Linked DNA regions of Xenopus tropicalis. The protein of the gene in region 7 interacts with the protein of the main gene of each other region in a biochemical or structural test. Links are inferred from orthologs where the notes say so. Each region holds a gene or a part of one and is shown on either strand. Other genes may lie near its edges. The genes, in order: atf2, ptprr, mbp, elk1, jun, gab2 and mapk1.

Region 1 (3,500 bases), on a different chromosome or scaffold from region 7:
CACATGCCCAGCAGTTATCACATGCATGTTGCCTGGGGGTGATGTATATCTGACACACATATGCACCAGTGATCTGTATCCTGGGGCTCTCCCTCTTGGGGGGTTGGTCCAGCTGATATACCCCAATCACCCCTGCCCATATAATTTTGTTGCCCTAGGTGCCTTGAAAATGTATGATAAGTAGTATAAATGTTGCTTATGTGTGTATATGCATGTCACAATAATTCTGGAAAAGCTCAACTTTACCAACCAAATTAGCTATCTAATAAAGTCTCTTTTGGCAAAATCACACAGCCTGTTTGAGAACTTGTTTTGCAGGGGAAGCACTAAGGAAAGTGTCTAATTTAACAAAGGATGTTATAAAAGCAATGTTATATGATTTGTTAGTTAGCTCATACCATTCTTTCCTTTCATTTATAGAGGTTTCCCAGCTTGTAGTTCAGATTGCTATCATAGGTTATCCTCCTCTAAGCAAAAGGCATAATTTCTCTAGCCTGCTACTGACATCTTGCAAGTATGCCTATTTAGTTTTATCCTTCAGTTAAGTTATTTTATTCAAATCTGCCTGTAGGGCCATTGGCTATAAAAAAAAACAAAACAAAACAAAAAACAATTAGTAACTAGTGATTCCCAAGGCTCTGCAATTTTGAAAGGGCCCCATGCATTCTTAGCTGGCAACCACTGACCTAAATCAAATGCTGCACACTAAAGGACACGGCCTGACTTTGGTTACAAACCATTATCGTAAAATCTGCTGGGTACCAGAGAGTTAAAGGTGTTTTGGATAGTTTGTATTGAAATTACAAAGCAACAGAATGGGATACTTACACTATTGGTCTGCTAGCTGGAGGGGCTTGCGTGATTACAGTGCTGGATGTTGGTGAAGGTATTGCCGGTTGAATAATGACACTTGAATCTGTATTTGTAAGCAGCACATTAGGAACCTGAAGAGACGCAGGGCGTACAATGGTAGATGTGGGTTGTGCGGCTGGCAATGGCACTTCCTATAACATGAAATAAGTCTGTTAATATATATTCCTCATAATACATTCACTTATTACATGATTCTTGCAAAATAGAAGGAAGTACAGGTATGTCAATTGTTATCCGCAAAACTGTTATATTATTGGGGAGGCCATCTCCCATAGAATCCGGTTAAAGCCAATAAATCTAATTTTTAAAAATGGTTTTGTTTTGTCTCCATAATAAATCAGTACCTTGTACCTGACATTTACGAAACCTCATGAATCTATATTGGCAGCAAATAAATCCTACTGGGTTAATTTAATTTTTGTGTGACAAGTAGTAATTGATTTATGAAACAGTGTTCTAAATTACGGAAAGATCCCTTGTTAGGAGAACCTGAGGTTCCAAGCATTCTGGATAATAGATCCTATACCAGTATTTGATTTGAAGATGGGAATTCAGGAGAACCAAATTCCCACTTGTGACCTTATTTTTGAGAAGTTTTTGAAAACAGGTTTGCTAAAGGAACAGTAACATCAAAAAATGAACGTGTTTTAAAGTAATTAAAACATAATGTGCTGTTGCTCTGCAAAAAACTGGTGTTTTTGCTACAGAAAAGCTACTATATAAATAAGCTGATGTGTAGCCATGGGGGCAGCCATTCAAGCTGGAAAAAAGGAGAAAAGGCACAGGTTACATAGCAGATAACTAGTAGCTAAGCCCCATATAATGGGGGTTTATCTGTTATCTGCTAAGTAACCTGTGCCTTTTATCCTTTGAATGGCTGCCCCCATGGCTACACAGCAACTTACTTATATAAACTATAGTAGTCTTTCTGAGGAAAACACACCAGCTGTAGCAATGCAGGGCAACAGTACATTATATTGTAATTACTTTTATACACTTTAATTTTTTGGTGTTACTGTTCCTAGGCTTTTTTCCTTCTGCTGGGACAGAACAGTGGCAGACAAAACACCACTCTCTCTACTTGTCATTGACCCAAATATTTGAGAATAAAAAGCAGCATGTGTGCTGTAAATGGTGGACATTGCCCATGGTCTGCCGTCACTGGACTGTGTCTGTTCAATAGGACACTTGTCATTCAGTAGCATTCTGAGCAAGTGGAAAGGTGAGTTTTGTCTGCCATGGTTCTCTGGGGCAGTGGTCAACAAAATGCCCTGTGTGCCAAGGGCCTAAGTTCAACTCGAGGCATTTAAATCTTTTAAGAGAAGTATATAAATGCAGCTTACAGTTCCATTTAGTTAAATCATTAACATTAGGCTCAGATTGAAATGACAATTTTACTATTAAGTAGCAATAAAACATGGAGAAGGGTAAAGGCTGAATACAGAATGTCAGTACATATATGTTGCTACTACATTTCAAATGTGATTTAGAAAACATCCAGTTGGAAACATCCAAACCCACTTTGTACACTTTAGTTTTATCAAGGAATGGAACAACAGAAACATTAAGGGCAAAGACACACAGAGCTACTTAGTAGCAGCTACTTGTCACGGTTACTATGTGCCAGAAAATACCCTGCCATAGACAGTACTGAAAATTGCCTCTGCTAAAACACATGTAGAGACAATTATCAGTAAATGATCAGCACTGTCTATTTCTGTAGTTGTGACAAGTAGCTGCTACAAGTAGCTCCATTTTTTTTACCCTTAGGGCTCTGGTACACAGGGAGATTAGTCGCCCGCGACAAATCTCCCTTGTTGCGGGCGACTAATCTTCCCGATATGACATCGCACCGGCGAAATGTAAATCGCCGGTGGGATGGCATAAGTGGCGGGGATACGTTGCCTTTCGAGGCGCCGCCGCGTATGCCATTTACGTTTTCGCCAGTGGGATGTCATATCGAGGAGATTAGACACTAGCAACAAGGGAGATTTGTCACGGGCGACTAATCTCCCCGTGTACCAGGGCCCTTAAAGGGATGAAAACACCAAAATAAGATAAAAGATAAAATCTTATCTAATGAAACAACATTGTAAACAGTTTTCTACTCCACATTCATCAATGGTTGTGTCTCTGGAAACAACATGGCACAAGTCAGCAATGAATGCTCCTTCACAGAGCTAGACTGGCTTTTGCTACACTGTTTCAAAGGTCTTAACCACCGATACGGCACAGAAGAGAAAGGGTCAGACAGACACTGCTTACAGAAGCAGTTATTTACAAAATAACTCTGAAGTTAAAGACACATGCAGCGATTAGTAGACGCAACTTTGTAAAAAGTTGTGGTGACTAATCCGCGCAGTGCAAAACCACAGGCCATTAGTCACAGTGACTTCCATAATAACCTATGGTGGGACCGTCGCTGCGATTAGTTGCAACTATTGCCTTTTTTTTTTTTTTTTTTAAAAAAGCCGCGCCAACTAATCACCATGTGTGTCTTCACTCTAAAACCAGAAATATGCAATGAATGAACATGGGAAAAGTTGCAAAAATTACATTCACATTTCATTAGACAAAATATTTTTTGCATTTACATCCCCTTTATAACAAAACTAAAATTGTGGTAC
Region 2 (3,500 bases), on a different chromosome or scaffold from region 7:
AATATACAAAAGACACAATACATAAAATAAGTTATAAATACATTGCATTAAAAATCAGGACATTTTGTTCAATGAAAATGAATAGTATGCCGGGTGATATTAATCATTTTTCTTGTTACTGTTCCTTTAAAAAAATAAACATTAACTGCAGGCATGCTTTGTCACAAGCCAGATGGTCATTGTAACCAAAAAGAGGAACTTTATAAAATGTGCAGTTGGGTGTTTCCATAGCTCATAGATGAGACAGCCGTTCGGAGGACTAATTTCATATAAAATATATGCTTACCTTTCTTGGAGGCCTACGGGTTTCATTTTAAATGGAGAAGGTCCCGCAGACAGAGGAGGTCTGATCTCAAAGGTGCCTTGGCACTGGGGGTCTACAATAACATTCACAGCTTTAGGGATATGTTCATGCTGCACCATACTGCTTGGCCGTTTAGCCTGAGATGGTGAAGGCTGAGCTGGGAGAGGCGACAGGTGGATCTCCTGATTTTTTTTGTCCTGCCTCAATGAAAACTGAATCTTTTCTTTTAATCTGTAGAGAACCTACGGAGATAGAAAGTAAAGAGTATTTACAATATTCTCCTCCTACTCTATAAACATAGCAAAACAAACACAAAAAGAATCAAAGCGGAGTTCTCAAAAAAGCTCATAATTTGTCCTGTGGGAGTTTATTTAACTTCTTGGAAGGTTTAATGTTTGTTTTTGTTATTCTGACTAATCTATCACATACTAGAGTCGGCTCTCTAAAGGTTTTACATAAGAGTTGGACTGTGACCAGTATATTAGGTATAATTGAACAGCTTGTGAAGTTCCACACATACATGTCAATGAACACACTCAAATCCTTTTTCATTCAGCAGAAACAACACTAGTGCTGGTTCCCTTTTGAATAGTTTCTGCAGAACACTAATGCTGATGTCAGACTGGGTGTTTTGACTACTGCCATCATCAGGCGGCAAACAACAGTGGTCAAAATATCCTACTCCACCTATCAGCACTTCCCTTATTAAACGGGAAACAAATAGCACTGATAGATGGACCTATGCTTAGAAATGCTTAAGCATGCATTTTTGAGTGCAGGCCCTCTGTTGCCCCCTTCATGTGCACTAAACACAATTTTTCCCATGGCAGGTGAAGAGGGGCATTTTGAGTGCTGCTATTTGTGCTGGTCGAAATTCAAAGTCAACCTAAAATGTTCCTGAATTATCAAAAACTGCAATGTCTGTACCATTTGTGCAAAAGCAATAAGAGTTTAAGGGGGTGATGTAATAAAAGGCACTAAGTTTTCCCTGGTGCAATAACCTATAGCAACCAATCAGTGGGTAGCATTTACTGGTCATCTGTTTAAAAGAGAACATATTATTGGTTGCTATGGGTTACTGCACCAGGGAAAACTTAGTGCCTTTAATTACATATTGAGGTAAGGGTATAAAAAGGGGCATTAGAATATGGCAAACATCAAGACCATGGTGCATTATTTAAAACAATATGTCTGAAAAAAAAACCTTGCACTATAGTGTACTGTCGGGTACACAGTGTGTAAGTTAATTAAGACAATATTTTACAAAAGACACATCCTCAATGGCACACCTTCAGATAAACTATCTGAACTATCTAACTATGAAAAAACTAACTTTTATTCAAATCCTTTAAAGGAAAAGGAAAGGCTAATAAAGAGTTAATCTCAAGCTGCAGGCATACCTTCAGTTCTCTCAATAGTGCCCTTAAGTCTCCCCATATTTCTCCCGTTTAGATGATCAGAAGCCTCATAGGAAAACAAGAACGCTGAGCTCTGTAAAGAAAGTTCCCATAATGCCTTGCTCCTGAACCAAGACCAAGGCCGGTGTACATGCTCCGTTAGTAAAACTATGAGGAAGCTTCCTGCTGATTGGCTCAGATATACATTCCTAAGGGGGGGGGAGTAAGTTCTTAGCATTCTTGAGGGAGGGAGGAGCAGAAGAGGGGAGAAAGGAGAGAGCTGTGTGTCTCTGGCACAGGAAAACAGAGACAACAAATCTTTAGAGGACTCAGTGCATCATTTCTGTGAGTGCTTATGGCTGTATTTACATAGACATTTCTGATAAAACTTATGTAGTTTTTACCTTTCCTTCTCCTTTAAAATCATACTTACAAATAGAAAGCACAGAGGAAAATTCAAAACTATTGGAAACTACTAAATGCAATTGTAATAAGGGAAGTTTATCCTGGTTACATAGCAAGCTTTATTTACTTGTAAAAATAATTAGTTGTGGCATAATTTTTGGCATTAGTCCGACATAAAAAAATACAAACATTACAAATACAAACAGCCCAGCTTCACAAAAGCACCATGTATTTCACACCACTACTTTTTGGCAAAAGATATTTTAAACACCATAGTAAATATTCCCCTTACTGTGGTCTCCACTGCCTGTTTGGGGATTGTTTTATACTTCTGTTGCACTCCTGTCCTAGCAATTAGCTGTCTCCTTTAGGGTTATTCTTGAGTTAAAGGCGTCACCAACACAAGAGGGATTAATATTTCTCTCATAACACAGAAATAGTAGTATATTTTAGAAAAGGCCATCTAATCTTCATAAAGCATCTGGAATCCCCATGTTCCCTAATTCCAATACCTCCACTATCCTGATTAGATTTTATTTTTATTTTTTGGGAGTCCATCTGCCATCTGATTTGGTTGCTAAGAAGGAAAGGATGATAAATATAGGCATTTCCTTCTGCTCACATGTATTAGGCAGTTCGTAAGTCTATTCACTTCGTTTCAGGGGAATAGAATGACTCAAGCAATATGCATATGCAAAACCTGTTCTACTTAACCTACCACCAAAGCATAAATGCAAATCATTCTCTAAATTCTTTACATTAGGTATCATTTACAGTGTCATATCCAGCTGCTTCAGGCTAGGTTATGTTACACACATCTAGTCATATTTGGAAGACAGGGAAAAAGAAGTGTGAGTAGAACCCACTAGAAAATCTGACAGCATCGAAGGGAAACCTTGAAGAAGAGCTTTCCATGAATCTCTATTCTGTATTTACTTACACATTATATGAGTTTGCTTACAGGTACAACCAAGAGAGCAGAAAATGAATGATTTGTAATGGCAAAGCCCCCCAAACAGGACTGGTTGCATGACCAGATTGTCTTAATCATTATTTCTCAGATCTTCAGACATGTCAGACTTGTAGGGCTAAAATTTGGGGTACAGCTATTCCAACAGGGGAAATATATAGGGGTAAAATAAATCACTTTTCTTCATTCTTCTTTGTTCTTGTGACAAAATGTATAATTAGCTTCATTCAGATTTTAGGATACTGTAAAAAAGCAGCATGTGGTCCTTAAGGGCTGTAGTACAAATCTCCCTGTTCGCGGGCGACTAATCTCCCCGAAATGCCATCCCACCGGCGAAAATGTAAATCGCCGGTGGGATGGCATACGTGGCGGCGTGATTTCAGTGAAATCGTGGAAGTTTCCTCTCAAGGCATCTTCCACGATT
Region 3 (3,500 bases), on a different chromosome or scaffold from region 7:
ATCTTTATCTGTCAGTTATCAGTTATATTACTTTTTTGGGGTTTATTTTGCAGTAATAATTTAAAAAACGGAAAACAATAACTGAAGCTTTGAAGCGTGTGTTGCAGGGTATAAGGCACTCCACAGCTCTGGACAGAAAGGTTCAAACAGCATATAAAATCTATAATACATGAACGCACAAAGCCAATTGCCAGAGAAGTCACAATCGCGTCTATGAGGTTTAAAGTTAATGCAGTTGGACAAGACTGTTCCTAAAGCCACATCTGGAACCAAGCTAAACTTTACCAATACTCTTCTGAAAAAGGAAAACAAGCCAGCAATATACATATACATATATATATATATATATGTATTTATCTGTACCTGAAACAAAAATCTGGGCCTTAGAAGCTAAATTGCATCAGCAAGCAATAACCCACTTACATGAACAGTACTTATGCTCTACATAGTTACTAACAATTGCAGCTATGACAGTTTCTTTGACAAACCTAATACATTGTTTTCCACTTTAATCCCATGTTAGTTTCCTTTCTATTCCTCAGAGCTCACCTTTCCTGATCCCTTCCTAGGAACAGCTCTCTCCCCTCCAAAGAACCTGCCCAGTGAGTCAAGAAGACCCGAGTCCCTGTGCCTTCCATGGGCTCCATACCCATGCCTAGAGTGATCTGAGGTGCTTGCTGTTGCCATTTGCTTTGATCCGTGCCGAGACAGTTTCTGTGATGCCATCAAATCCGAGTCTTGTGAAGTTGGTGCACTGTCCTCTGGGATGGTTTGAAGCTCATCTGACTCAGAGGGCCGATCTTTGAAGGTGTTGTCCTCTCTTCCTGGTGCATCTCGGGAAAAGAGGCGGATCAGATGTGGGCGAGAGGCAGAGTCAGATGGGTTGGCATCCTTCCAGTCATTCTTGGGGTCTTCTGTGCTTGTGGAGTCAGTCACCGCCGTGCCCTTAGAGGAGGTTCCATTGTTCTGGTTCACATCTGCTGCAAATAATAAGTGTGAGATGTGAATGCAAGGCTGTAAAAAGCAAACAATGCTGCCTTCATTCTCTCTGCCCTGAGTTAGACATTTTATGTTAATCAGACAGAATTTGCTTCATGTATTTGAAATATAAAATAATATTAAACACAGATATCGGGGTGAGTCGCATATAAAGGTAATTTCTTACTTGGCAGTTCTATAGAATTACTATATATATCTCCAGGTTTAAATGGTTACTTGTGTTAGCGAATATGCACATCATGGTTCAATAGACATGTTTATTTTTTACCTTATCTTGCTTTACACTTAGGGACTTACCAAAGCTTTCAAAATAACACCCTGAGACATATTTATATATTTAACAAACAAATGCTAGTAACACACTCCCAATATAGGGGAAAATTGCCCTGGTGCATCCAAGAGAAATAAATATCCACATGAAAAAAAATGGAGCATTCATGGGACTTACGAATAAGTGAAAACTTTTTTCTTAGTTTATATAGGTATGCAACCTGTTATCCAGAGTGCTGGATTTTTTGGTACAGCTAAATGGACTCTGAAACTTAACCCCTAGAGCAGTGATCCCCAACCATTGGCTCAGGGGCAACATGTTACTCACTAACCCCTTGAATGTTGCTATCAGTGCCCCCAAACCAGGTAGTTATCTTTGAATTCCTGACTTGGAGGCAAGTTTTGGTTAAATAAAAACAAGATTTACTACCAAATAAAGCCTCCTGTAAGCTGATAGTGTGCATAGAGGCTGCCTAATAGCCAATCTTAGCCCTTACTTGGCACCTCCATGAATCTTTATGGTGCTTGTGTTACTGTCCAAGTCGTTTTACATTTGACTGTGGCTCACGAGTAAGAAGGTTTGGGGACCCCTACAGTAAGCAATATACAGGGTGGGAGCAGTGATGCAATGCATATGCTCTATCATAAAGGCAAAGCAAGTTGTGGTGCATCTGAGCTGGAATCACCTGGGGTGCTAAAATTTATAACTATGTCTAATGACGTATAAACGTCTGGAAGCATGGGTGCATATGATTGCTGTAGGACTGGCTGTCATTTGTAGCTTCCTTTTCTTTGAAATAACTGGCACAGGCTAATTGTGCTCAGCTCTGCATAATCCTGCTCTCTAAGCATACAGTGACAATTAAATCAGAAATGCAGAAAAAAGTCACAAGATTGTAGCTGGCCTCAAAAGAAGAAGGTCGTATCAACCAAAGAAACATATTAATTGGAAAACATGGAATTTGGTTCAAGTGTCTCTCTGCCATGCACTTTATATACAGCCACATCCTAAAATTCTGTAAGGCACAGCAAGCAGAATCTTCCTGTGATTGCCAGGGGTGGCTAAAAATATCCACTTGCTGTGCTGACTATGGAAGTGCAGGGTGGCAGCTCAGATTGGCAGTATATGCAGTTGTCATTTGTTGTGCCACCTCTAACCACTAGAGAGCTAGATAGCATGCTGTCCCCACCTCTTTTCCTATCTTTCTTAGAGACATACACAAGGCAATTCCATCTGCTATTACCCCTTTGTTCAATAAATATCACCATGACCTTCCTTCCCACTGATGACTAAAACGATGATGATAAAGTTTATATGATCATTTAGGAGCCCCGAGTGCACTTTGACTGTGCATTCTACATGCGTTCGGCCTGTCATGCATTTCATTTTTTTTCACGTACTTCAGACTATTCCCACGTAGGGACCATCCTGGATATATATGATATTCTGTCCATTATGAAAAACATTGGAAACTAAAAGTGATATTATTGTACAGCGCTGCAGAATATGTTGGAGCTTTATAAATACATGTTAATAATATTATTATTATGTCAAAAAAGTGGTGTAAAATAAAAGTAATATTTTTAAAGCTTTTGATTTGACACTGTCAATATCTTTAATCAACAAAGGTGTATATTTTATTTTGATTTTATCCAGAAATAGACACCATTTTTTACACCATCTTTCAACCGTTGAAACCCATAAGGTTGCTTTGATTTTGCTTTCATTGTGTTATTAGACACGAGCAAACTCTGTAATAAAGCAATACAGAGAATGAAGTGCTTTATATAATTAATGGCTCACCCAAGTAGACTTTGGTTCTGGTATACATATTCCAGACCCTGACCAATGTGTGGTTACCTGAAACAAAGAAAAAATTGCAACCCCATGTAGTCAGGCGTAAAATAAAAGTTGAATATGTGGGGATTCATGACGCCCTGCTCATTTGTCTCTGTTCTGGATATGCCAAACACTATACCTTAAAAATAATACACCACCACCTAATTTAATCAGCAATATACACCTATGGTCAACATGAATTCAAATGATCCAAATAAAATAGGTATTGTAGTAAATTAATACTTTATATTTTTCAGTTATAAAGAGCTTATGATCATGGTTCCATTTTTACTGGTAAACTAGGAAGAAAAACTGATTATATAACTATTCTTATTCCTACGATGATTCTGAAAAACTGATGATATGGAAACTCAAAGAAAAAGTGCTGTTT
Region 4 (3,500 bases), on a different chromosome or scaffold from region 7:
TAGCGAAATATCCCAAAAAATAGACCTTCTTTTTTGTTAGAATCACAGAGCAGCTAAGAAGTGTCGTCCCCGGCAGTCACGTGACCCACGGGGCGGCCATATTGTCCCACAGAACTCCAGGCCACGTTGGCGTCTCCTTGTGTTTGTCCGAGAGCAAATGTATCGCGTAGGCGTCCATCTTTAATTGGCCGGCCCACGCGTTGCAGCTTTTTGGTTGGAGGAAATTGGCGACGCCCTTCCGACGCCCCCCCCCTCGTACACGACCAAGTAGCCAAACCCCTTTCCCTTTATCTCCAGCAAAGTAGAAAAATATTTTCTGCCCCCGCCCACCCAAGCCTGAGCTCCAGTCTGGGTAACGCCCCCCATATTCAAGTATGTCCCGTCAGCCATTGGCCGATTCCCTGATAAAACGACAGACCTCCAGGATAATAAACCAATGAGAGGAGGGTCTATCCAATCAATAAACGACCCCGTCTCCCATCATTCCTTGCTCTATCCATTGGCCTCCAACACTGCGACTACGGAAAACTCGATCCCGTTCCTCCCGCTGGAGGCGTGGCCTCTCTACCGGCCGAACGTACAGAAGTCCCGGGGCCACCGGAGATATTGGTGCCACCTTTCCTTCAGCAAATAAAGGTTTCATGAAGGTTCTGTATCCCGGCAAACTCCCTCGGAGAGCGCTTGGGGCAGAAAAGGCGCCCTCGGGCAAATGAAAAAGCGCGGGAATGTCGGCTGCGCGGGTCCCTTATGGCTTTTGGGGTCCGGGAGAGAGAACGACAGGGGTGGAGAGTCCGTCGACGCTCAGGGTGGGGACGTGGATTTGGTTGTTGCCATTGGTTGGGAACTGGAAGGAGAGGGAATAACCAATGAGAGGCCTTTCCCCACCTAGTGGCCCCTACTGGCCATTACACCCTGACAGAACAGCGGCCACTTACCTGGAAGGAGAGCTTGGCTGGGCTCCGGGGGGCGATAGGGCTCAGGGTGCTCCAGAAGTGAATAGAGGGTGGGAGGGAACTTGGGGTGAGCAGGAGGGGAGTCTGGGGGCGGAGACAGAGAAGCATTAATGCTGATTCAGCCACAGGATTGTACTAATATTATAGCACTGCCATCTCTAGTCCCGCCCACATTATTATAGTACCACCCACTGCCCCTCCCCCTGTAAGTCACCGTATTATAGTCCCACCCACTGCCCCTCCCCCTGTAAGTCGCCTTATTATAGTCCCACCCACTGCCCCTCCCCCTGTAAGTGCTTGTCGGTTCTCTAGTCCCACCCACTGCTTGGCAGACAGACTCCCCCTGTAAGTCACAGTATCCTAGTCCCACCCACTGCCCCTCCCCCTGTAAGTGTCCATTAGCACTCTAGTCCCGCCCACTGCTTAACAGACTCCCCCTGCAAGTCACAGTATTGTAGTCCCACCCTCTGCCCCTCCCCCTGTAAGTACTCGTCAGTTCTCTATTCCCGCCCCCTGCTTGACAGACTTCTCCTGTAATTCACAGTATCATAGTCCCACCCACTGCCCCTCCCCTATAAGTACTTGTCAGTTCTCTAGTCCCACCCACTGCCCCTCCCCCTGTAAGTACTCGTCAGTTCTCTATTCCCGCCCACTGCTTGACAGACTTCTCCTGTAATTCACAGTATCATAGTCCCACCCACTGCCCCTCCCCTATAAGTACTTGTCAGTTCTCTAGTCCCACCCACTGCCCCTCCCCCTGTAAGCGCTTGTCAGTTCTCTAGTCCCACCCCCAGTTTGAGTCCCAGACCCCTTGCCCCTCCCACTGTAAGTGCCCTAGTCCCACCCCCAGTTTGAGTCCCAGACTCCTTGCCCCTCCCCCTATATATTAAGGCTTTTAGCCCCTGACATAGGTTCCTCAGTAAGCTCAGAGGGGCCGACCCCCCCACAGTACATTCTGGCATCTCTACGACCCACAGAACCGCACCCAGGCCCAATACCCCAGTTGCCCCTCTGGGGCGGAACTGCACTCACCAGTGAGTGGGAGGTGATGACAGAAGACGCGCTCCCCGGGGGCAGAAGTGAGTTCATAGCAGAGTTCATCTTCTCCTGGCCAATCACAGCAGAGTATGGCAGCTCCAAGTCCTTTGGCTTCTTCCCTTTCACTGACTGCCCCTCGGCGGAGGAAGTTGGGGTGGGGGGTCCCCCATCCCTGTCTCTCTGCTCGTTCTTCGTATCCTCCTTCTCCGGGGAGTCAATCACAACCAGGATCTCCTGGGTCATGGGGGGCTCCGGCACCTTCAGCTCAGGCAGAACCGTAGGGAACAATGGCGCATCGGAGAGGCCCTCGCTTCCACCAATGGGGTCTTCTGCCGCTGCCTCCACCTTAATATCAGGTGTGGGGGGGTCCACGGTCACCTGGGTACGACACAAACACCAATGGGAGGTTTCTGTACACAAACTGCTGGGCAAGATGTGGGGGAATAGTGACGGCACATTCATTATGGGGGAACCATTGTATTATACAGAGCCAGTAATGGCGGCACATTCATTATGGGGGAACCATTGTATTATACAGAGCCAGTAATGGCGGCACATTCATTATGGGGGAACCATTGTACCATTGTATTATACGGAGCCAGTAATGGCGGCACATTCATTATGGGGGAACCATTGTATTATACAGAGCCAGTAATGGCGGCACATTCATTACGGGGGAACCATTGTATTATACCGAGCCAGTAATGGCGGCACATTCATTATGGGGGAACCTTTGTACCATTGTATTATACGGAGCCAGTAATGGCGGCACATTCATTATGGGGGAACCATTGTATTATACAGAGCCAGTAATGGCGGCACATTCATTACGGGGGAACCATTGTATTATACCGAGCCAGTAATGGCGGCACATTCATTATGGGGGAACCATTGTTTTATAGGGAGCCAGTAATGGCGGCACATTCAGTGGAAGGATCATTACCTGTAACTGGAGCTCCTCGGAGCTGTGAATATTCACTTCTACAGACAGGGCCTCACTGTTCTGCTCAGCCACTTCGTACGGGGGTGGTACCTCGATGCTCTGCCCTTTCACCTGGAGTGAGGGCGGGGCTTCAGTCAGTGGAGGAGGGGCTTCCAGCTTGCTAGTCTTGGGCTGGCCTGCAGGGGGGGCTTGCAGGGACTGGATGGTGAAAGTGGAGTAGAGGCCGGAGCGCATGTACTCATTGCGACTCGTCTTAGAGCTGCTCCGAACCATCTTGGGGACAAAGGGGGAGCTGTCGGCGGATTTGGGGGGCTGGCTGGGCTCGCTCACACTCTCTCTGCACTTGCCATCGTCCTTAGAGACCTCACTGTTGCCGGGATCCGGGTAACAAACAAACTTGTACACAAACTTCTGCCCACTCACCTTCTTAATAATGTTCTGAAATGAGACAAGATCCAACGATCATCAAAGGCACTTATTATATGTATAACCTATGGTACCAAATACTCTCATGGTACAAATACTCTCGTGGTACAAATACTCTCGTGGTATCAAATACTCTCGTG
Region 5 (3,819 bases), on a different chromosome or scaffold from region 7:
TCACACCTCTTGTGTTTCCCAGTAGCACCTTAAGAAACAAGGACTCTAAAATGCTACAGTTTAATAAATTAGTTGGTATATTCTCATCAGTAGCTACTTTAGTTACTACTACTATATCAATTTGTTACACTTTTCTTTTTTCAATAAACTTAGGAAAAGCAACTATTTATCAATTTGTAAAATTGAAGAGGGCTGGCAACCAGTTGGTATTTGTGGTGCACAATTTGGAAATGATTATTTAGCCAATAAGGCTGGAGAATACTGTAAACCATTCCTAACCCCTCAAACATATAATAACAGCAGCAAACTCTTGCCAAAAGCCCAGAACTTTATAATAGCATATATAAATAACCCCAAGTGCTATGATATAAAGAAAATATTGGTCAGTATGTTCTTTTCTGCTTTTACTTTTATATTGCCCAATACCCATATCAAATAATTGTCAAAATATAATACCCTTGAATAGACTCATGCAATATATCAAGTACTATACACAGGAGATAGTTTAACATGCACGTTTATTGCAGTGTAAAAAAAAATATCAATATAAATAAAAAAATCTAATTTCCACATCTTTTATTTAATATCTTAAATATAATTGAACGTCTGGAATTGTCCTTAGAAACAAAAACATAGAAAATTATTATACTTTATTACAAATGGTAAACTCAAGAGTGCTCAATATCTCTTATTTACAGAAAGTAGTGGGTTTATTAACCCAAACATAAAAATAACTTACAAATGCTTGAAGCAATTTTACTGAAATAATTCAGTTTTTCTTAATATTATAATAAAAAAAACAAATATGTACACATACACAGTTATGTAGAAGGCAGGCAGATTTGTCATTAATTTTACTTTTCAATGTCCCGTATGCCTCCCTCCCACACCCTCCCTTTGTAAGAAAACTACGGAAGCAATCTAGTGTCTCTAGCAGTTTAACCTTTTCTTAATACTGAATGATCATCGAATGTTAGGTCCATGCAGGTCTTGGTCAATGTTAAACATGTATCTGATGTTTCATTAGAGCAGGAACAGCACTTGACAAGTGATACTGCTTGTTGCATTGCCACAGGCTCCACCTAAAGGCTTGTCAGGACTCCCCGCACACGCACGTAGAACAGTCAGGTCTCAGTGCCTTTCATTTTGAGCCAGGGAGTTTCAACATGAAACTATTTCCCTCCACAAAATAATTCTCACATCTCTTTCCCAAAGAAGCCTTTTCAGAATGTTTGCATCTGCTGTGTTAACATTAGCTGACACCCACTGTTGACATGATTCATGACTTTTTGTTTGAGCTGGGCTACTTGCTCTCTAAGCATGTTGGCAGTGGATGCCAGTTCAGAGTTCTGGGATTTTAAGTTTTTAACTTTGTCTTCCAACCTGGAAATCCTCTCCAGTTTCCTTTTTCTGCATTTAGATGCTGCGATTCTATTCCTCATACGCTTCCTTTCAGCCTTTATCCTTTCCTGGGACTCCATGTCAATAGGGGACAGTGGAGGAGTCTCCCCAGGCATTTCAGGTACAGTCTGTGGTTCCTCTTTCAGAGCCTGTAACCTGGGGTGCTGCACGGGTATTGGTGGGTTACTCTGATGTTGGCCGGTATACCCCATGGTGTTGCTGTTAAAAGGCGATGATGTGGTGATGGTACTTGGGTTAAAGTTACTTAGATTGGCATACACAGGGGGCTCGTTGTGAAGACTATTGTTGAAGCCAGTGTTTCCAGCAATAGTAGATACAGGTGTCAGTCCCGTGCTGGCAGGTTGGGTGGCAGTGGTTACACTTGGCAAGTTGTTTTGATGGTGGAGTTCTGCCAGTGCCCTAACAAACCCCTCTGCAAAGCCTTCTTGCTCGTCTGTGACATTCTTGGGGCACAGGAACTGGGTGGGGGTCGGGGTGGTGGTAATCATGCCATTGCTGGACTGGATGATAAGCCTCTCCAACTCCGGGGAGGCGAGCTTGAGAAGCCCAACATCAGGGGAGGTGAGCAGTTCAGCTGCCTTGTTTCTCAGGTGAGGTTTGATGGCGCTGCTGGGGTCCGACAGGTTCAGGGTCATGCTTTGCTTCAGCACCTTGTTGTAACCATAGGGAGTAGCATCGTGCTGGGCGAAAGCAGCACTCAGGGCATCTTCGTAGAAAGTAGGTTCCATCCTTGCAGTCATAGAACGGATGCCGGACAGGGACGATGACTGGACCTTACGTTAGTGTGACACCAGCACCAGCCTAGAGAGAAGAGCGAACAGGTTGTTAGCTGACACACCGAACCCCATGGCACCTCCACCCCTCTTCTAAATGGAACTTATGCTTCGCCTGCCGAACTACAACTGGCAGTGTCCCGTAGTGAGAGTTCAAGCACAACTGCTCCCAGCCTGGCACATAACAGAAATAAATGCGACTTACTTTGTGTCTCTAGCAGCAAAGAGGTCCTCGTACTCCGAACGCCACAAAAGTTCTTATAAACTCCCGGGAAAGTTTCCAAAGCGCCGCCGGAGATATGTAATGGCGAGCGCTGGGTGTGTGCGTGTGCCCAGTATAGGTGTCAGGCACACGGACACAAGGAAGAAGTCACTGAGAAGTTAGACGTTCCTTCTCCCCAAGCGCCACAAGTGCTGTCAGTGTGAGCTCTACTCACTTGTACTGGGCTGTGGGACAGCGTGCAGCTAACACTTATCTGCGAGCGGTCACCCACTAAAAATAGACATGATGTCACCCCAACGTCCTGCTATTGGTTGAGCCTTGGGAAGGGAGGCGGGCCAGCGAGGCCAAATGAGCCTCGGTCGCTATGACGACCGCCCTAGAAGATTCTAACTCTCGCGAAGGCTCATGGGATGAGGTAATGCTCCTTTGCCGCTGGGCATTGTGGGCTGACGTATTGTTGTTGGCGGTGCCCGTTCCTTGCTTTGGTAGTTGGGATGGTAGTTTGACGTGGGTTTCCCGCCATAAGGGCTGTTCCGCTCACCCCCTGGTACTGGACAGGGGCTTGAGGCAATTGTATGGTAGTCGTAAGCCGCGGAGGAGACTCATCCCTTTCCTAGCAAAGCGCGATATGGTTGTAATGGTTGTCTGTCACATAAGGAACCGGAGGACTTGGGCTGTGTTTGTCGGCTGGTGAAACTGAAAACTCAGAGTTGAAACAGATTATTTCCACAGGTTTAAGCGATCAGTATGGCAGGTTTTTCAATATGTTGTTTGTTAGTTGCCGAACTAAAATGTGGTAGTGGTTGCTGGGAGTTGTAGTTTTGAAACAACTGGTTATTTTCGGTAGAATGTTATTAGTGTGGTATAGTTTTACTGGCTTTATAGTTATTGTTCTCTTCGCTGTTTTACTTTGTGTAGGACACGGGGGAGACCAAGTTGCAGCCCTCCGGCCATTGCGGGTCCGTGTGTGGGGGTGGGGCTGTATGTGACTAGGAGTTCAACAAGAGCTTGAGGATCGCAACATTGCATAGATACACCAGTGTCAGTGACAGAGAACATGTAAGGCTGTATAGCATCATTGTTATTAAAAGGGTCCCAGTGTTGTGTAGGCATGTGCTACATTCTAATGATCATGCCTTTCTGCACTGGGGTGGATAGCCAGGGAGAAAAGGTGAGGGAAAGTTTTTTTTTTTTTTTTTTTTTTTTTTTTTTTTTTTTTAATTTGGTGGGGGAGGGAGTTTATTGGTGGGTGGGTGTGTAGATTATGATGTGGGCGTTGATGAAAGTAAAAAAAGGATGATTGGAAGCAGGGTGAAGGAGGTAGGGGGAGCGCTGGGGAGGCTTAAAAAGTTTACAGGAGATCAGGTTGCATCCATGAGAACGGAGACTGGCTTTTATGGG
Region 6 (3,500 bases), on a different chromosome or scaffold from region 7:
TATCCTTCAAACCATCTCCAACATTTTTTACTCGTGAGCCACACGTAGATGTAAAAAGTGTTGGGGAGACACACAAGCATGAAAAAAGTTCTTTGGGGGTGCCAAATAAGGGCTGTGATTGGCTATTTGGTAGCCTCATGTGGCCTGCAGGTAAAACTGTGTCTATGGGCTTCCAAAACTTGTCTCCAAGCCAGAAATGTAAAAATGGGCAACATCAAAAGGGGGTGGTGGGGAACATGATGTCCCTGAGCCACTAGTTAAGGGATCACTGAGCTAAAGGGACCATCACCAATAGCTGGACCTCAAAGGGCCTTCAAAACAATTAAGTCCTAAAACCACTGGTCGACAGAGAAAAAATATTATGTATCACCAGTTATCTATACCAGGGGTCGGGAACCTTTTTGGCTGAGAGAACACCACGTATTTTAAAATGTAATTCTGTGAGAGCCATACAATGTTTGGCTGCGGGGCAAGGTAGGGTGGGTCCCAAGGATGCCGGACGCTGATGCGATGCAGTGGAGGGTGCGGCCTGCGCTCGGCGGATAGAAGATGTGTTCTAAGGCTTAGAACACGTCTTCTATCCGCCGAGCGCTGGCCTCATCCCCCCGTTATTTTTTTTATTAAAGATTTGGCAGCGAGCCAAATGCAGCCATCAAAAGAGCCACATCTGGCTCCTGAGCCATAGGTTCCCTACCCCTGAGCTATACCATTCAAATAAATTGACTTATGATGTACATTTGCCACTTTGGCATGAAGCATATCATTTTTCCAAAGAGCCACCAAATGGAATGTAGGCATTGATGGAACAATAGTTATGAATCTAGTTATTACTGGGAAAAAAACAAAAAAAGGTGAAACATAGTCTACTGACTAAATATGGAACAATGAACAGTGTTGAGTGGATAAATATGGCGGAATATTGAAGATTTCAAAGCCAGTAGTACCTCGATGGCGCTTATTCTCCACGGCTGGTAACGTGTTCCTCCTTGGAAGATTGACCATTGCCACGTTATCGCCATTATGATGATGTTGTGGCTGTGGGCTACCCCAAATCGTCTCTGCTTGTCCTGGTTTAGGGGGACGGGGAGGGGGTGTGGAATGGAAGTCATTGGAGGCAAGACCCAGAGCATTGTGGTTCTTGTCTAAAGTGAAAGTTCTTGGGATCTGATACACAGAGAGCGGCGTCCCAGGGATATCATAGGAATCCGTTGACAGTTCCCTAAGCTCTTTACACAGAGCATTGCTGGGAGTTTTGTAGCAGTAAACATCCTCGCTTTCCGACTCCAGTCCTGTAAGGCTTGACTTGGTTGGTGTGTCAGAGCCAAAGCTTCTCGGCAGGTCGTAAGCACTGTCCCTAAGCTCAGAACTAAGTCTGCTCGGCTTGGGTAAACTATAAAAGCCGTGCACTTGTCCGCTGATCCCGTTCAAACAGTGACCGTAACCCTGGACCAACTTCTGGACGGCCGAGTCGCTTCTCATAAAAAAGGAGGACCTTGTGGCTTGGGAAAAACTGGCACTTCTGGGGGAAAAAAAAATAATGTTAAGGTTGGCCAAGATGGCAGCTCTTGCACTAGAAGGGGGGATATGATAACTATGTATAAGGGCACCATAATGTAAACTAACTTATTTAGCTGTAGGTCCTTCCAATAAACAGAAGGAGATTCCTTGAGATAAGGGTTTTCTTTACAGTGAGAGATGTAAAGTTCCCTCCCTGAAATGGTTAGAATGGCAGATACATTAGAGAGCTTTAAGAAAGGGTTAGATGCCCAAGTGAAATACAGGGGCCGATTGTAGCTGATGATATGGGTCCCTTAGACCAATTCGGCAGCTAATCGGCCTGTGTATGGGCACTCCTGATGGGCCTGCCCAACCGATATCTGGCCTGAAATCGTCCAGATCTTGATCGGGCAGGTTAGAAAATCTAGTTGGATCGGGGACCGCATCGGCTTGTTGATGTGGTCCCCGGACCGACTTTTCCTATACCCGTCATTATAATTCGATCGTTTGGGATCGGGGCCAAGCAATCGAATTATCCTGGATTCTCCCGATATCGCCCACCCATAGGTGGGGATATTCGGGAGAAGATCTGCTCGAGCGGATCAGCCCGTGTAAAGGGGACCTTTAGGCCAAACTGTAGATGGCTATGGATGGGGGGGTTGCCTTCCTCTGGATTATGTAAAGGGTTGAAACTGATGCACCGTTATCTTTTTTGCAACCCCAACTACTATGTTCCTATGTAGAATAATGTGTATTTGTATGAACAGCAACTTCCTAATCACAGAAGAGATATTTTGTTTACCGTAGGTTCTCAGTATTGACCTAGAGGTTTTCCATTATGGTTTATGGCCAGTTTCACCTTCATTGCTCCCTGTGCAGCCATCTTTGCCCTGGCTCTTTATGATTGCTCATCTCACTTATCTGTCAATCGTCTCTGATCGTTATCTGCACTCTAATTTATTTAGTGTTTTACTGCTCTCCTTCTAAGTTCTTTATGGTTATCTCACTTCCTCTCTCGTCTCCAGATGTCTCCGATCAGTATCTGCTCAGCCATTTGTGTCTTGTTCAAGGGCAATAACACACGGGCACTCGAAACCTCCCCCATTCACTTGCATACATTCAGTATTGCCCCAACTGCTAATGCCCCATAAAGCACCGTATACAGTCTCTGTGTTTATCAGTCGTCGGAGTCTCTGGTTTTTTAGGCACAAATCCCCTCCACAAATTTGCTCTTCTGAGCTTTTGTTCAGGATTACTGCTTCAGACATTGGTTAAATGGTCTATAGACCAAAGGGATTCTGGGAACAAATAAAAAAATCCCATTTACATGGGTTTATCCTATAGGCTAAAGCTCACCCACTGGGTTTTAAAGCAAAAGCCAGGATAATAGCTGATCAGATTCCCAACTACAGACGGGTTTCGCTCTTCTTGGGGTTCATCAGTGTAGTGCAGGGATTTCTGATCAGCTTAGGCCCAGAATCCCTGGGGTCTATTTGTATATGTATGAGGCGGTCTCCTCAACCTTTTTGACTTGTTTGTGAATCCTCACCCCTGGCTCTCCCTAAGCGGTTCAGAAAACCCTGCACTACACTGATGAGCCCCCAAAACCAGTCTGTAGTTGGGAATCTGATCAGTTGGCTGGCTTCAAAAACCCAGTGGGTGAGCTTTAGCCTATAGGATGAACCCATGTAAATGGGATTTTTTTAGAAGCCTTAAGGAATTTGTTCCCAGAATCCCTTTGGTTTGTGTCTCCTCAACCCTTTTGACTTGTTCATTAAATGGTCAACAAACCACCCATGTCCAGACAATGGGCTCCCAGAACGGCGACGGTTCTTACCTCATGGTCTCGGACTTTTGGCTCATACATTGGTGCAGGAACAGGTAATCCTGAGGCGCGCTGGTGGATAGCGCCGTCTGGTGAGCGTGGTTAGAAGGAGACTCGAATGTAAACAAAGTGGGCTGACTGGAATGGGAAGGTGCCGAAGTCTTTCTCTCCCTGAGAA
Region 7 (3,500 bases):
CAAAATTCATTGGAAATAAAAAAAAAAAAATAACTATTACAGAGTTTGTGGGATATCTAATGCTGTATAGCTTGACTTATAATGTATGGTAGAAACAGTGGCCAATAATTAATTGTGCTTGCTTTGTATTTCAGTTCTGCCTATGACAATGTAAACAAAGTACGAGTTGCTATCAAGAAAATCAGCCCATTTGAGCATCAGACATACTGCCAGAGAACACTGAGGGAGATCAAAATCTTGCTGCGTTTTAAGCATGAAAACATCATTGGAATTAATGACATAATTCGAGCTCCAACCATTGAGCAAATGAAAGATGTGTATCCTTGCTGTTAAAATTGTTTATCTGTTTTTCTTTTCAAAAGTAGATTTCAGAGAAAAATGTGATTTGTTTCTTTCAGTTTTTCTTTCTTTAATTTTTCACACTCCATCATTGTTGCCTTACATTAAACATTCCAGGTATATTGTGCAGGATCTCATGGAGACAGATCTCTATAAACTCCTGAAGACTCAGCATCTTAGCAATGACCACATCTGCTATTTCTTGTACCAGATCCTGAGAGGATTAAAGTACATCCATTCAGCCAATGTTCTACATCGTGATCTTAAGCCTTCAAATTTGCTGCTTAACACTACCTGTGATCTTAAGGTCAGTGCAGATTGGTAATTATAATAGTTAATGTCCTTTAAAGAGAACTTAGAGCTGTAATGCAAAAAAAACAAACAAAAAAAAAAAAAAAACACAGTCCTTACCCTTAAACCTCAATACCCTTTTGAGTGCAACTACAAGCTTACTCGTATGAGTGATTCCATCCTATTCCTTAAACCCTGCAGGCATCAGGACTCTTCTAAACATGGGCTAAAGTTTTTGCTAGTTGTTGGGTAGTTGTGCAACTAAGGCAATAGTACTTCCCCCCCCCCCGAGGCTTTGGCTTGTACTAGTGTGTTCAGTGTCCATTGCTAGGCACTAAGCCCTGTTTCTGAACTGGTACTGGAGCCAATGTAAACCAGTTTTGCATTACATGGGACTGGCAGGTGGTCCCTTACAGAATCACAAAAAAAAAAGCGCAAATATAGGCTTTTTAACTATTCTATAGTATACGAAATGTTTCTACAAACTCATAGGTACACTCATGTGTACGCTATTAATGTGATAAGTTGGAACTTTGTATCTTCCAGATTTGTGATTTTGGATTGGCTCGTGTTGCAGACCCAGACCATGATCACACTGGATTTCTCACAGAATATGTAGCCACTCGCTGGTACAGAGCTCCTGAGATCATGCTGAATTCCAAGGTAAAAAAATGACTGCATGTATAGATAGACTGATAGGTGCATGTAATTTTCTTGTAATTCAAAATGTAAATATGCTTTGGCCTCACAGTTAATTTAAGACTTAAATTTCTATAATTCTATATTAAACATTAGAGATTTTTATAGATTATGGAGCACATAAAGGGGTTGTTTTGCTTCTAAAATTAACATAAGGTGTGTGACAGACGGGGAGATTAGTCTGCGCGCGACAAATCTCCCCGAAATGCCATCCCTCCAGCGAGAATGTAAATCGCCAGTGGGATGTCATCTGCAAAATTCCCATTTAGGTAACAGTCATCACAACATGGTCACCTTTGAGATTGTTTCAGAAACACCTGTATATAAGTGATACAAGTTAGATTCAAATGTTGGCATGTCATCTCTGCAACTTATTACTAAGATACTTTTCATAAGAAATGTCTGACAGCACTGGACTTGAATATATTGCACATCACATTCTATTCATTTGTGGCAGCCCAGATTGATGAACAATAAAGCCTGCCAAATGTAAAACCTTGATCTACCAGTAAACTCAAAATCCTGTGAGTGCTGGTATCTTTTTGCACAAAATAACAAATTATTGGGGGGGGGGGGGGGTGTAAACAATGCAGAAAAATGCCCCTCTAATCAAATTCTATCACTACTGTGGTTGCACTGTCTGACTCCCGACAAAGGTCCCTGTGGGGGGATCAAAATGTTGAGCAAATAAATCCGTGGAAGACTGATTCAGCAAATTATGTGAGTGCCATTCTTCTGTATTGTTTGTTGTTTCTCAGTTCAGGCACGAAGAAAGGAATTGTTTATGGTATGTACCGTACATGTTATATCTCAGTGTGTATGAAAAAAAAATGACATAACCTTTATGAAAAAGAATAATCTGCTATAGACTGTTATAGACCACTGTTAGCACGGTGGTTTAGTGACTAAAAAAACGTTGCTTGTTTTCAGGGCTATACCAAATCGATTGACATCTGGTCTGTTGGCTGCATTCTTGCTGAGATGCTTTCTAATAGACCCATATTTCCTGGAAAACATTATCTTGACCAACTCAATCACATACTTGGTAAGGTCTAAAGTCATCTATTGTTAAGTATATAAATTTGTATTTATTATTTCTGTATCTTAGTGTCTTAAAGGGGACCTGTCACCCTAAGAAATAATTCCAATTTCTTTTCTTTTGTGTTTGTTAAGCAAACTTAACTTTACATACTATATAAATGATAAAAAATCTTGTTTCCTTCAGTCTTGGAAATATACAATCACAGCCAGCAGGCAGCTGCCATTTTATGGGCACTGTTAAGGCAAGCTTTGTATCATCCCAAGATCTTGTATATGTGCCAGAATGGGGGACCTGATGCCCAGGCCCATGCACTGGCTACACAATTAGATGGTGAGAAGGTATGGGAATGTGAATGCTGAATGGAAAGTTTAAGTAACTGTCTGCCCCACCTCTATGTCTGAGGCATAGAGGCAGGACAAGAAGTATATGATTGACAGCTGGGATTTTTAAATGCATTTATAATGGGTTTGAATGTGTTAATATAAAAATGAATTTTGGTTTCATGTTTAATTTGAAAAGGACTTTTATTATACAGCTTTTTATGTCTGGGTGACAGGTCCACTTTAAGTGTATTTGTGTGGATGGGAAAGAAGAGCCTATCAAATTTCTCTGAACTGTAGGTACAAGCTTTAAAAGTTTAGAAACCAGGGTGTTGGCTTCCTATAATATTAACAGAAAGGCAAACAATTAACTACTGCACTCAGTATTTAGAGATACAGTAATTATGTTTCATTATTATTTAATGCTTTGTAAAACATGCTCATTATGAACAACAATTTTGACAAATATCTATTGATCTGTTAACCTTGTTCTCCTATGCCTGTCTCAGGCGCACATCGTGCTTCTCCTAAGCTTCTGCTGAGCAAGCCATCTGCCTGGCTTGCACACTTCTTGCTCGAATGTAGGACTTAAGATGGGCTACATGGGCAGGTTTAAGCTTCCGATTCGGGCCCTTCAGGTTGATTTTGGCAAATTATCTGCCAGTGTATGAGGCCCTTCGACATGGCCCTACCCTGCCAATATCTTGCTGAAAATTGGGGAGGTTTGAATCGAGGACTTCATTGACTTGTTGATTCGACCACTCCAATGCTTGTATTCCTGTCATTATGGTCTGATCATTTGGCCCTAG

What was found.
Region 1: of the proteins of mapk1 (region 7) and atf2, one has a biochemical effect on the other in vitro, tested with the Homo sapiens proteins (3 studies listed by BioGRID). The link is inferred for Xenopus tropicalis from reciprocal best matches to the Homo sapiens genes MAPK1 and ATF2.
Region 2: the proteins of mapk1 (region 7) and ptprr form a complex in vitro, tested with the Homo sapiens proteins (2 studies listed by BioGRID, with this or other methods). The link is inferred for Xenopus tropicalis from reciprocal best matches to the Homo sapiens genes MAPK1 and PTPRR.
Region 3: of the proteins of mapk1 (region 7) and mbp, one has a biochemical effect on the other in vitro, tested with the Homo sapiens proteins (16 studies listed by BioGRID and IntAct). The link is inferred for Xenopus tropicalis from reciprocal best matches to the Homo sapiens genes MAPK1 and MBP.
Region 4: of the proteins of mapk1 (region 7) and elk1, one has a biochemical effect on the other in vitro, tested with the Homo sapiens proteins (16 studies listed by BioGRID and IntAct, with this or other methods). The link is inferred for Xenopus tropicalis from reciprocal best matches to the Homo sapiens genes MAPK1 and ELK1.
Region 5: of the proteins of mapk1 (region 7) and jun, one has a biochemical effect on the other in vitro, tested with the Homo sapiens proteins (2 studies listed by BioGRID, with this or other methods). The link is inferred for Xenopus tropicalis from reciprocal best matches to the Homo sapiens genes MAPK1 and JUN.
Region 6: of the proteins of mapk1 (region 7) and gab2, one has a biochemical effect on the other in vitro, tested with the Homo sapiens proteins (2 studies listed by BioGRID). The link is inferred for Xenopus tropicalis from reciprocal best matches to the Homo sapiens genes MAPK1 and GAB2.

What each region holds. Positions count from the first base shown.
Region 1 is NC_030685.2:64,401,198-64,404,697, forward strand, and holds part of atf2 (cyclic AMP-dependent transcription factor ATF-2), read right to left. Parts: intron 1,005-3,500; coding exon 829-1,004; intron 1-828. UniProt on the Homo sapiens protein: Transcriptional activator which regulates the transcription of various genes, including those involved in anti-apoptosis, cell growth, and DNA damage response.
Region 2 is NC_030679.2:59,563,325-59,566,824, forward strand, and holds part of ptprr (receptor-type tyrosine-protein phosphatase R precursor), read right to left. Parts: intron 547-3,500; coding exon 287-546; intron 1-286. UniProt on the Homo sapiens protein: Sequesters mitogen-activated protein kinases (MAPKs) such as MAPK1, MAPK3 and MAPK14 in the cytoplasm in an inactive form.
Region 3 is NC_030682.2:98,910,145-98,913,644, reverse strand, and holds part of mbp (myelin basic protein), read right to left. Parts: intron 981-3,500; coding exon 532-980; 3' UTR 1-531. UniProt on the Homo sapiens protein: The classic group of MBP isoforms (isoform 4-isoform 14) are with PLP the most abundant protein components of the myelin membrane in the CNS. They have a role in both its formation and stabilization.
Region 4 is NC_030684.2:1,348,786-1,352,285, reverse strand, and holds part of elk1 (ETS domain-containing protein Elk-1), read right to left. Parts: intron 3,373-3,500; coding exon 2,935-3,372; intron 2,370-2,934; coding exon 1,986-2,369; intron 1,038-1,985; coding exon 936-1,037; intron 845-935; coding exon 746-844; 3' UTR 1-745. UniProt on the Homo sapiens protein: Transcription factor that binds to purine-rich DNA sequences. Forms a ternary complex with SRF and the ETS and SRF motifs of the serum response element (SRE) on the promoter region of immediate early genes such as FOS and IER2.
Region 5 is NC_030680.2:86,738,690-86,742,508, reverse strand, and holds jun (transcription factor AP-1), read right to left. Parts: upstream 2,668-3,819; 5' UTR 2,163-2,667; coding exon 1,224-2,162; 3' UTR 501-1,223; downstream 1-500. UniProt on the Homo sapiens protein: Transcription factor that recognizes and binds to the AP-1 consensus motif 5'-TGA[GC]TCA-3'.
Region 6 is NC_030678.2:168,999,494-169,002,993, forward strand, and holds part of gab2 (GRB2-associated-binding protein 2), read right to left. Parts: coding exon 3,335-3,500; intron 1,520-3,334; coding exon 945-1,519; intron 1-944. UniProt on the Homo sapiens protein: Adapter protein which acts downstream of several membrane receptors including cytokine, antigen, hormone, cell matrix and growth factor receptors to regulate multiple signaling pathways.
Region 7 is NC_030677.2:154,033,074-154,036,573, forward strand, and holds part of mapk1 (mitogen-activated protein kinase 1), read left to right. Parts: intron 1-134; coding exon 135-317; intron 318-456; coding exon 457-646; intron 647-1,176; coding exon 1,177-1,293; intron 1,294-2,259; coding exon 2,260-2,374; intron 2,375-3,500. UniProt on the Homo sapiens protein: Serine/threonine kinase which acts as an essential component of the MAP kinase signal transduction pathway. MAPK1/ERK2 and MAPK3/ERK1 are the 2 MAPKs which play an important role in the MAPK/ERK cascade.